Arabidopsis thaliana: one gene and its partner. The protein of the gene in region 1 interacts with the protein of each later gene in a biochemical or structural test. Each region holds a gene or a part of one and is shown in the gene's direction. Other genes may lie near its edges. The genes, in order: AT3G16270 and AT3G11130.

What was found.
Region 2: the proteins of AT3G16270 (region 1) and AT3G11130 form a complex in vitro, tested with the Arabidopsis thaliana proteins (one study listed by BioGRID).

What each region holds. Positions count from the first base shown.
Region 1 is NC_003074.8:5,511,430-5,518,112, forward strand, and holds AT3G16270 (ENTH/VHS family protein), read left to right. Parts: upstream 1-1,843; 5' UTR 1,844-1,942; exon of another isoform or gene 1,943-2,071; 5' UTR 2,072-2,271; coding exon 2,272-2,478; intron 2,479-2,761; coding exon 2,762-3,499; intron 3,500-3,671; coding exon 3,672-3,827; intron 3,828-3,917; coding exon 3,918-4,847; intron 4,848-5,069; coding exon 5,070-5,111; 3' UTR 5,112-5,253; exon of another isoform or gene 5,254-5,503; intron 5,504-5,836; 3' UTR 5,837-6,177; downstream 6,178-6,683. Other genes in the region: TRZ4 (tRNAse Z4), read left to right, coding at 1-33, 122-172, 268-1,260, 1,342-1,689. UniProt on the Arabidopsis thaliana protein: Mediates clathrin-dependent trafficking of vacuolar cargo from the trans-Golgi network (TGN). Promotes plant growth.
Region 2 is NC_003074.8:3,488,977-3,493,858, reverse strand, and holds the start of AT3G11130 (Clathrin, heavy chain), read left to right. Parts: upstream 1-1,793; 5' UTR 1,794-2,191; coding exon 2,192-2,236; intron 2,237-2,571; coding exon 2,572-2,776; intron 2,777-3,315; coding exon 3,316-3,404; intron 3,405-3,504; coding exon 3,505-3,583; intron 3,584-3,661; coding exon 3,662-3,789; intron 3,790-3,888; coding exon 3,889-3,987; intron 3,988-4,069; coding exon 4,070-4,178; intron 4,179-4,264; coding exon 4,265-4,344; intron 4,345-4,429; coding exon 4,430-4,657; intron 4,658-4,743; coding exon 4,744-4,809; intron 4,810-4,882. Other genes in the region: AT3G11150 (2-oxoglutarate (2OG) and Fe(II)-dependent oxygenase superfamily protein), read left to right, coding at 1-45, 544-873. UniProt on the Arabidopsis thaliana protein: Clathrin is the major protein of the polyhedral coat of coated pits and vesicles. Mediates endocytosis and is required for a correct polar distribution of PIN auxin transporters.

The sequences.
Region 1 (6,683 bases):
AATAACTCGATAAACCCCACTTCTTTGAGCAAGGTTACAAACGCTTTTCTGATATTTTCTTTTTGAGTTGAATCTGGCTGTGTTCATTTAGTCAAGTTGTGTTCTTTTCTTCTCTTGTCAGTGCTTCGATTCGAATCTTGGTGAAAGCATTTCTGCTGAAAATCTCCTCAAGGTATTGAATGTTGCTTCAGTGCATCATTCCATATGAAACTTCCTTTCTTTAGCTCTTAAGTCTCTCGCTTTCTCTCATTGATATATTGTGGGCAGTTCACTTTGCGTCCACATGGTAATCTTGGGGTAGACAGATCTAGTATCCCTAGTCGATTAACAGCTTTACGAGTGATGGATGAGCTTCTTTCAGAAATTCCTGAAATCAGCAGTAAGACCGAAGAAATCAAGCAGTTATGGAATGGACAACACAACAAGATGATGATCGAAGAGCCATGGCTGGGTGAAAGCACTGTTCCAAGCTGTCTTGAAAACATTAGAAGAGACGACATGGAGATAGTTCTTTTGGGCACTGGTTCCTCCCAACCCTCAAAATACCGAAATGTCACGGCAATTTACATCGACCTATTCTCTAGAGGCAGTATTCTCTTGGATTGTGGGGAAGGTACCTTAGGCCAGCTTAAACGAAGATATGGTTTAGAAGGAGCTGATGAAGCAGTCAGAAACTTGAGATGTATATGGATCTCTCACATCCATGCTGATCACCATACGGGTCTTGCAAGAATCCTTGCTCGCAGACGTGAGCTTTTGAAAGGATTGGCTCATGAGCCAGCAATTGTGGTTGGACCGAGATCGCTTAAGAACTTTCTCGATGCATATCAAAGACTTGAGGATTTAGATATGGAGTTTCTCGACTGCAGGAACACCACAACAACATCTTGGGCTTCTGTAGAAACCAGCCGCCCTGAGAAAAATACCAGTAGCGGCAATGCAGAGGGTTCTTTGTTCAGTAAAGGAAGTCTAATGCAGAGTATATATAAAAGACCGAGCAGCCCACTGACAGACAATTCTTCAGCTTTACCATTCTTGAAGAAACTGAAAAAAGTCCTCGGCGAAATGGGGTTGGAGCATTTGATTAGCTTTCCTGTTGTGCATTGCCCTCAAGCCTTTGGGGTTTCGTTAAAAGCAGCAGAAAGAAAAAACATTGCCGGAGATGAGATTCCGGGGTGGAAAATGGTTTACTCGGGAGACACAAGGCCTTGTCCTGAGATGGTTGAAGCTTCAAAAGGAGCAACAGTTCTTATACATGAGGTGCTTTTCTATATAAGCAAAACTGTGTAAAACATTTACATCTCATTCTTAAAATTTACCATCTTTTCAAACTTATAACAGGCGACGTTTGAGGATGCGTTGGTAGAAGAAGCTGTGGCTAAAAACCATAGCACAACTAAAGAAGCAATCAAAGTTGGATCTTCAGCAGGTGTATACCGAACCGTACTGACACATTTTAGCCAGAGATACCCAAAGATCCCGGTGATTGACGAATCACATATGCACAATACATGCATTGCCTTTGATATGATGAGTATAAACATGGCGGATTTACATGTGCTTCCAAAGATTTTACCTTACTTCAAAACTCTATTCAGAAACCAAGTGGTTGAAGAAGAAGAAGAAGAAGAAGAGACTGATGATGATAGCTTAATACGTGACAAAGTCCCAAGCTTTTTCATCAATTAGTATATAGATTAGAATGTTCTGTTTTGTCCCCTGTTTTTGACTGTGTTGTATTGTCTTTAGAAATAATATCAATTTAATTGATTTTTCCTGTGAGTGTGACAGAGGAAATAAATCAGTTTCATGTGCATAATGTGAATTGTGAAAAAGAAATTAAAAAAAATCGGAACTTTGGGAAATAAGGAAAGACACCGAAGAACACACAACCATTCCTCTTTATTGACCGCTTCCTTCTTTCTCTGTCACATACGAATCGGTGAGTTTTTTTCTTCTCAATTTCTCCGTTCTCTGCTGATTTCTCCGAGGTTATTGATTCGATTCCGCTTGACGCATGATTGTGTTGTCTCAAGGGTCTAATTTTACCTCCGCGTTGATTGGTTTATAGGGGAAATTTGGATCCCGATCGTGATCTTTAGTTTGGTGAATTTGAGCTGGAATTGGAGCTTAAAGGATCGGTTTTTTGACTGATCTAATTGTTTTGAGGATCGGTCTTTCATAAAGTTGTTGTCTTTGAAGCTTTTTTGACTGGTGAGGACGAAAAAGTTGTGATTTTGGGAATTAGGGTTGTTTTGTTTCGAATTCGCCATGGATACGAGCAGGAGAGCTGTGGAATCGTATTGGAGGTCGCGGATGATAGATGCGGTTACGTCTGATGAGGACAAAGTTGCGCCTGTGTACAAATTGGAAGAGATCTGTGACCTCCTTCGTTCTTCTCATGTCAGCATCGTCAAGGAGTTTTCTGAATTCATTTTGAAACGTCTTGATAACAAAAGCCCCATTGTTAAGCAGAAGGTATTTTCAATTACGTTTGTTTTCTGTTTTTGATTGTGAAATGTTGTTCCTTTGTGAGACATTTGTTTTCCATGAAGATTTTGATTGAAATGTTTGCATGTCGGGATTGATTTAGATTGTAGGTAGATGTTTGTTTTTTCTTAGAATGGATCAAAGAGAAAGCTTTATGTGTTTGATTATAGCGTAGAGTTTGTTTATAGGGAGACGTAGAATGGATCTTATTGTGGCTAAAAGCTCTGTAGGAACTGGTTATACTGATTTTGGTTATTATATGTATATACAGGCTCTTAGGTTGATAAAGTATGCTGTGGGAAAGTCTGGCTCAGAGTTTAGACGAGAAATGCAAAGGAATTCGGTTGCAGTGCGCAATCTATTCCATTACAAGGGGCATCCAGATCCTTTAAAAGGAGATGCACTTAATAAGGCTGTACGGGAAACTGCTCATGAAACAATTTCTGCTATATTCTCAGAAGAGAATGGTACTAAACCAGCTGCTCCTGAAAGCATCAACAGACGCATTGAAGGATTCGGGAATACTAACTTTCAGGTGCCCTCTAATGATAATAAATCGTTCCTTAGTGAGGTGGTGGGTATTGGAAGTGCATCTATAAAGCAAGGAATCAGTAATTTTGCTCAAGGCCATTTGCCAAAGAAGAATGAGAATGGCAGCAGCAGCTACAGAGGTCCAAATCTCCACAGATCATTAACTATGGAAAATGAGAACTTCAGTAGATATGATCCAGTTAAGCTGGGGAAGGATGGTAACTACGGAACGTCTAAGAACACGACTGGTGGATCTTGGGGCCACGCTTCCGGAGAAGCAAGTGAAAGTTCTGCTTCAGTTCGTGTTGAGAGCAAAACTCGTGAGGAAAAGCTGCTGGAAACCATTGTTACATCTGGTGGTGTACGCCTGCAGCCAACTCGTGATGCTCTTCATGTTTTCATTTTAGAGGCTGCAAAAATGGACGCTGTTGCTTTAAGCATTGCTCTTGACGGGAAGCTCCATTCTCCAATGTGGCAGGTATGTTTATGATTATTTCCTAGTCACCTCCTTGTGAAACTGTTTGATGCTACTAATGTACTTTTTTCTTGATTATATCATCTGTATTTTCTTTTCCCTGGCTTGTTTCTTCTGTAGCGTTAATCTTCCCACTTTTGTACTTTGAAAGTAACTGTGTTTTTCTGTTTGGCAGGTTCGGATGAAAGCTTTATGTGTCCTTGAGGCCATTTTGAGGAAGAAGGAAGATGAGAATTTTTCAATTGTACATACCTATTTTAGTGAAAACTTGGATGCCATACAGCGGTGCGCAGAGTCTCCACAATCTTCCCTTCGAGAAAAGGCGAACAAGGTAAGCTTCTGCTTGTTATAACCATTCACAAAACTCTTTTTTGGCATTATGCTAATTTGTTGGTTAACTCGAGATACCGATGTTGTGTAGGTTCTGAGCCTTCTAAATGGTGGACAGTCAAGTGGGTTGATGAGCAGCTCTGATAATACTGTGAAGCGAGAGGCTGCTGTTGATTTACCTGACTTGATTGACACCGGTGATTCAGACGATACTTTGAACAATCTGAATGCTATAGATACTGGCAGTACAGTGGCGACAGCAGGTCCATTGATGGATGATGATTGGTTTGGGGATAGCTCTGACATTGGACTGAGTAGCAGCGAGAAGAAAACTGATGACGACCCCTTTGCAGATGTCTCATTTCATCCGAATGAAGAAAAAGAAAGTGCAGATGACCTCTTCTCTGGAATGACTGTCGGGGAAAAGTCCGCTGCTGTTGGTGGTAATCATGTGCCTGATCTATTTGATATGTTTGGGTCAACTGCAAAACTTGAAGCAGAGCCAAAAGATGCAAAAAACATTAATGATTTGATGGGAAGTTTCTCCATTGACGAAAACAATTCAAATCAGAAAGGCTCGTCTTCAAGCACTCTTCCACAGGATTTATTTGCAATGCCGAGCACCACCAGCCACCAAGCACCGGAAAATCCTGTTGGAGGCATTCTTGGCTCACAAAATCCTGGGTTTATTCAAAACACAATGCTTCCTGGAGGTGTTATGCCATTCAATTTTCCTCAAGGGATGATGATGAATCCAGCTTTTGCATCCCAACCTTTGAATTACGCTGCCATGGCAAGCTTGTTAGCTCAGCAGCAGCAGTACCTTGGTAATATGTCCAACTTCCAGCAGTTCGGCAATCTGAACGCTCAGGGTAGCGGAAATGTTCTTTCTATGGGTACAAGTGGAGGGAATCAGTCCGCACTCCCTGATATATTCCAGCCAAATTTTGGTAATCAGGCTCCAACCTCAACAATGAATGGTTCGAAAAAAGAAGATACCAGAGCCTTCGATTTCATTTCTGTAAGTTTTGCCATCTTGCTCCTGATCTTTGATTCTAAAGTTTGGTCAATCTGCCATTTGTCTTTGTACATGTGACATCAAATCTCACACACATAATGTCTAGCTCGATTAAAACCACCTAAACATAGTCAGACTAGATCTACTTTTGTGGCATAGTTAAAAAACCTTCGTTTGATGTACATACACTCATGGAGCAACTACATAAATGTTTGTGTGATGCAGGATCATCTTACATCAGCCCGCGACACAAAGAGAGTATCTTGATGGTTGCTTACAAAATTCCGCCTTCCAGTGTTAAATGCTATTTCATGAGATGTGGACACAAGGGTGCAGGAAGCTAAAACATTAATTTATGAGAGCTGTATAGACTTGAGGAGAAAATGGAGATAGCTTTATAATTCATATGGTAAGGGTTTTTGCTTCTTTTATCTGTTTCCTCGTTTTGTCTTTGGTTTTTCTTCTTCTTTGGAGTCCATTGTTCTTGGCATGAACATGTAGTTGTAGAGTTGCTTTTTGTTTGTTACTAGATGTGTTTATTTTGTTCCGTTGCTATATATTATATCTGAAGAGACTTGTGTCTGTGTATCGAACGTAGACAAGAAAGGAAATGAAACTGAGAAAGGAAATGCATATGAATAGTTTAAAGACTTCAAGTCAAGTCCAGTTGTTTTTGCGTTTCTTAATTAGAAAATTTTGTTGATGGAGAAAAACGAAAGCCAGGGATAATTTTGTTTAATCGTGATGTCTGTTACAATTTGGAGTAGTTAATAAAATAAGGTAGATCTAATCTAAGTGGCTGCAATGAGCTTTTTTTTTCTCACACGTTAAACTTGGTCCATATTCTCAGCATTGCCTGTTATACTGGTTTGCTCATTTTAAATTGGCGTTACTTATTTTAGGATACATCCATTGGTCAAGTGTTTGCATTGGTGTAGATATTTTCATACGATAAGAAAGAAAGAAAGCTAATAATTTCTCAATCTATTTAGGTGAAACTATTCAGAGTTTGATTAATGAGAGAAAAAGGAAATGATGCCCCTTTATTTTCTTACCTGAAGTTTAATAAGAATGCATCTTTTGTGTACTTTCTACCAACGGTAAAGATTGAAAAAAATGGTGGAAGTTACTTTTCTTATCTTTTTAAAAAGTGGTAACGGGAAAATGACGAGTGACATCCTCATTACATAAATCCAATTAATAAGATTTTGAGGTTCCCATACTGTGTAAATATAAAAATAAAGAATGAATAAAAATACCTCAACGGGCAGATTGATAGTGACATATGGAAGTAACTTTAGACTCTCCAAGTCTCTCTCAAATAGGAAACGAAGGAGACATTGAGATTATTTTTTAGAAAGTTAATAAACGATCTCTTCTGTAAATCTTTTCTTTTTACATTCTCTGCATCTTTTATGCTTCTTTGTTGGCAAATCCATCCTCAGTTTTATTTCGTTTAAAAAATTATCAATATGGTCAAATGTATATTACATATAATAGGTGTAGATATATTTTTTTTTTTTTTGGATTTTTATAAAATCTTCATGATAATTGAAAGATGGGTAGGCTAAATGTCACTTAAAATGGAGCGTCTAATTTCATTAGTCAAATTAAGTATTTATTTTCTTTGATAGTTTGACACATTTCCACCAAATTAATTAGCCTTTGAAATAAGAAATAGTATGCTTGTTGACAAAAATTAAAAGAAAGAAATAGTCTAATTCCACCCAAAACAAAGAACAATCAAAATAATCTAAAAACAAGAACACAATAATAATAGTATGCAGTTGTAAAATCAAAATCACAATTTACTCATATGTATATGGAAAAAAATAAAAA
Region 2 (4,882 bases), 2.0 Mb from region 1:
CCCCGAGTTGACTCGGTTCTTGTGACGTTGGGTGACATTGCTCAGGTTAGTTCTCTTTTGCTTTTGACAATTGACAGAACACATATATCTCTTTTATTTATCTATAATTAATTGGTTAGTTGTCTTCCTTAAATAATTATCAAATTATCATCCTTTGTAATGGAACTTTATTCCACTATACCGTTAACTGGCTGTTTTAATGTATTTTAAACATTATCCAAAATAAATGTTTTCCAACGCATCGTTCAAAAAGAGAACAAGAATTTGGATATTTCCGATATTTATTGTTGACAACAACAACAATTGTGGAGCATAACCGGGGAATGTGTTTTCACTTTTCGTTTGAAACAGATTTATGGCATTGGGAAAGAAATAAGAATTTGGAAATTTCCGATATTTAAATACTTATACACATCACATCGCAATTGTACTTAGTGTCCTATAGAATTCAACAATTCTTTTTTTTTTAGGTCAAAACCTAACAGCTTTCTACAATATAGTTTTCAACTTTTGAACAGCTAACAAACAACTTAAAATTGGCAGGTTTGGAGAAATGGAGAGGTCAAAAGAGTGAAATATCGACCAGTGTTGTGTTCAGGACAAAAAGATGGTCCAGTAAAGTGTGTAACAATGACATTGATGCTTACACTTCCCATGGACAGTATGGTTTCATCATTGAAGGATATGATCAGTGACGGCGACAAAGAAGAAGAGTATGCAGAGGAGGAGGAAGAAGATGGAGGAGCAAGAAGTGATGAGAGAAGGGCATTTAGGCCTTTTAGTTTCAAGGAGTACGCATGGAGAGTGTACCAAGAACGTCTCTTCTTCAGGGATCCACTTGACAGATACAGAATCAAATCTTTAAAAGATTGACGAACCGATGTTTGATTTGTTTGTTTCTTTCTTGGGTTGAATTGGTACTATAGTTCTTGTTGTTACTTTTTTTCCCCCATAAAATCTTTTGATTTTCAGCGGATTGTTAGCATTTTAGCATTGAGATATTTTTGTTTTTGTTCGATTCAGTTCAGAGAATGTTCTATTTTGATAGTCACTCCATCATTCAACTAATTTTTTCATATATACTCATATCAAAACTGTCACTATTTCAAAATCAAACTTTTAGGTTACACCAATGACTCTATCACACTAAACTCAACTCCTAGATTTTATATAGAAGAATCTATGACTTTGATGATGTACTTTAAAACTGAGTCTTTTGAGATCATAACCAAATTCTACTTCATAACTTTTGTTTTCCAATGTTGATTATTTGTTATAATTAGAAGGTGACACAAACGCTTATAGCATCCTGTTTTTGAAAATGAGGAAATACAGTGTTGGCTTTTAATCTCTCATTGAGGCAGAATATCAATGAATGACTTCAAATCTACGTATACATGTTTACTTATTTAGTGATCCATATTGGTGTTGCTCTTTAATTTTCTTGTGAGAATGAATTATATACATCAAAATTGATTATATCATTTAATTCGAGTTAAAATTATAAGTAATACAATCTTCACTAAACACTAATTAAATCGACGTAAATTTCTTATACGATTTTTTCATGCAACACTTAAATCGACATAAATTTAAATATTTTGGTCTTCATACCCTAATTTTGATAAGATATAATAGAAAATTTCGTATATCTTTTTTTTTTTTTGGTAAAAAGTTTTTTTTTTTTTGTTTCATCTCCATATTTAGAAAATTTATTTCAAACTTCGTTCTCGTTTGTGTTCATCTTAATTTTTAACCATGATTGAGTCATTGACCATTGCTCAAAACATACGCATAAAATTCCCAAAAAGTAGTGTGTGTCGTGACAAAACCCGACCCGTCGATTTACGCGGTTTGAAACTCGACCCGAATACTATCCGAACCCGTAACTTTGGCAAAAGCACATCGTACAGCTCAGGCACTTGTAGCACGTCGTCTCTCCTTTGGTTTCTCTCCTTATATTCGACGAGTGACTCCGATTGGATCGCTATTTCGTCATTTCTCACTTTCCAAAAAGAAAAAAACGAATCTCTCTCCACCATCATCACCTTTCTCCTTCACTTGCCTCAGATCTGGCTGCGATTTCAAATCTTCCTTAGTTTCTCTCGCATCGCTCGGCCGTTGACGGTCCCGTCCTTTCCGTGGATCTGATTCTGGCCCCGGATTCTCTCGCCGCGATCTGAGGTCAAACATGGCGGCTGCTAACGCGCCCATCATTATGAAGGAGGTCCTAACGGTGAGTTCTCTGTTTTTAAATCTCCGGGAATCGAGCTAAAATTTTGGACGATTAACATGTTTCTATAGTTGTAGTCTCTGATTTCTATCGATTTGGTTCTGCTCACACTGTTATATGATTGATTCAAGTTTCATTCTGTTCTCAATTCTACCCGATCGTTGAGATCAAGTTCTCTGATCAGATTTTCTCTGCGGACGCTCAGATCTGTGTTATCTGAATGTATATAGTCCTTAGTTTTAAGTTATTGTGTTGCGCAATGTGCTTATCTACTCGGATCTTGTAACTAAGTTAATGAACTATGCCAATTGATTACTTTTGTTTTGGAAATTTTCCAGCTTCCGAGCGTTGGGATCGGTCAACAGTTCATCACCTTTACAAATGTTACTATGGAGTCTGATAAGTACATATGTGTACGAGAGACGGCACCGCAGAACAGTGTTGTAATTATCGATATGAATATGCCGATGCAGCCTTTAAGGAGGCCTATAACTGCTGATTCTGCTCTTATGAACCCAAACTCGAGGATCCTTGCCTTAAAAGGTATTACACTGTTTCCTTCGATCGCATTATCACTTATAACACCCATAAGATTCTCCTTTTGAAGTGTATGATCAGTTATAAGACCCATAAGTGGTTCCTATTAAAGTTTTCTCCAGAACTACCATTGATAGCTTCTCCTTCATTTTGTTAACTGTACATATGCTATTTATTACGGATAGGATGTTTTGATTTATTTGAAGTTTAAATGACTCTGTCCATGTTGTGATGCGTCACTTGATAGAAAACCTATTTTTATTAAAGTAGTATGGAAGTGTAACTACACTCTTCGAGTTTATGTTGTAGTCCTATACTCTTTTTCTGGATTTGGGGTGATAGCATGTTTAATGCTGTAGAAAACATCAGTATAGCGCTCTCTGTTTTCCAACACGTGTTATATTTCTCGTGGCAGTGTTGTGTCTCAAGCTTAGTGTAGTTAAACTAGAAATTTTGGTTTGTACTGGATGTTTCCTTGTATAAGCTATTACTTATTTCTTCCTTAATTTGTTGTTAACTTTTTCTTAAATTCGTATCGTATATAGCTCAAGTTCCAGGAACTACTCAGGATCATCTACAGATATTTAACATTGAAGCAAAGGCAAAGTTGAAGTCACATCAGATGCCTGAGCAGGTGAATTTTGAAGCAAACAAATTGTAACCCGATTATCTTTCATGTTGTACTCTTCAGACAGACTCTGATTTTACTGGTCTGAATTTTTTGGATATTATAGGTTGCTTTTTGGAAGTGGATCACACCTAAGATGCTGGGACTGGTCACACAAACTTCTGTGTATCATTGGTCAATTGAAGGTTTTATATCTTTAACTTACTGTCAGCTTCTTCATATCATGTATATGTTGTTTCTCATTTTTGCTTCGATATTTCCAGGTGATTCTGAGCCAGTTAAGATGTTTGATAGAACGGCTAATTTGGCAAACAATCAAATTATAAACTATAAGTGCTCTCCTAATGAGAAGTGGTTGGTCTTGATTGGAATTGCCCCTGGCTCTCCTGAGGTAGGGTTCCTGCACCACGTATTAGGTTGAATTAAGACATCATAACGGCAGTCATGTTGTATATTTTTGACGGAATCTTGTCATTATTATCCTCTGTAGAGACCACAATTGGTGAAAGGAAATATGCAGCTTTTCTCTGTGGATCAACAGCGGAGCCAGGCCCTTGAAGCACATGCTGCATCTTTTGCTCAGTTTAAGGTAAACTATGTGATACCTTTGCTACTTCATTCCATGGTCGGATCTTGAACTGTAGTATGACAAGCGACATTATTATTGATAGGTCCCTGGGAATGAGAATCCTTCGATTCTTATATCATTTGCAAGCAAGAGCTTTAATGCTGGGCAGATAACATCAAAGCTGCATGTTATTGAACTTGGTGCCCAACCAGGTTAGCTTAAACTACTGCTCTATATTTTCATGGTTATTGTTAGTTGGTATTAGTCTGATGTTTAAAGGTGGGCGGCTTTTTTTCAGGGAAACCATCATTTACAAAAAAGCAGGCAGATCTCTTTTTCCCCCCAGATTTTGCTGATGATTTTCCTGTGGCCATGCAGGTTTGTAGTTGCATTAGCTGTTCAATTAACTTCAGTAAGTTTCTTGTGAAAAATTCATGACACCGACTTCTCTTTCTCCCAACAGGTCTCTCACAAGTTTAACTTGATTTATGTCATCACCAAGCTTGGCCTGCTGTTTGTATATGATCTAGAGACAGCTTCTGCTATCTACAGAAATCGGATAAGTCCGGACCCAATTTTCTTAACGTCTGAAGCTTCCTCAGTTGGGGGTTTCTATGCCATTAATAGGCGAGGACAAGTTCTTTTGGCAACAGTAAATGAGGCCACCATAATACCTTTTATTAGTGGTCAAGTATGTTCAACTTTTACTTTGTTCTTCTCTATATAATCTATCTATTCATCATGACATGCTAAGAAATCTATGCCTTTATATTACAGTTGAACAATTTGGAACTTGCTGTCAATCTTGCTAAAAGAGGAAACCTCCCTGGTGCAGAAAATCTGGTATGTGATAATTATCTTGGATCAGATGTGTGGATCTATTTTCTTGGTGAAGTCATTATTGTGCCAATTTGAC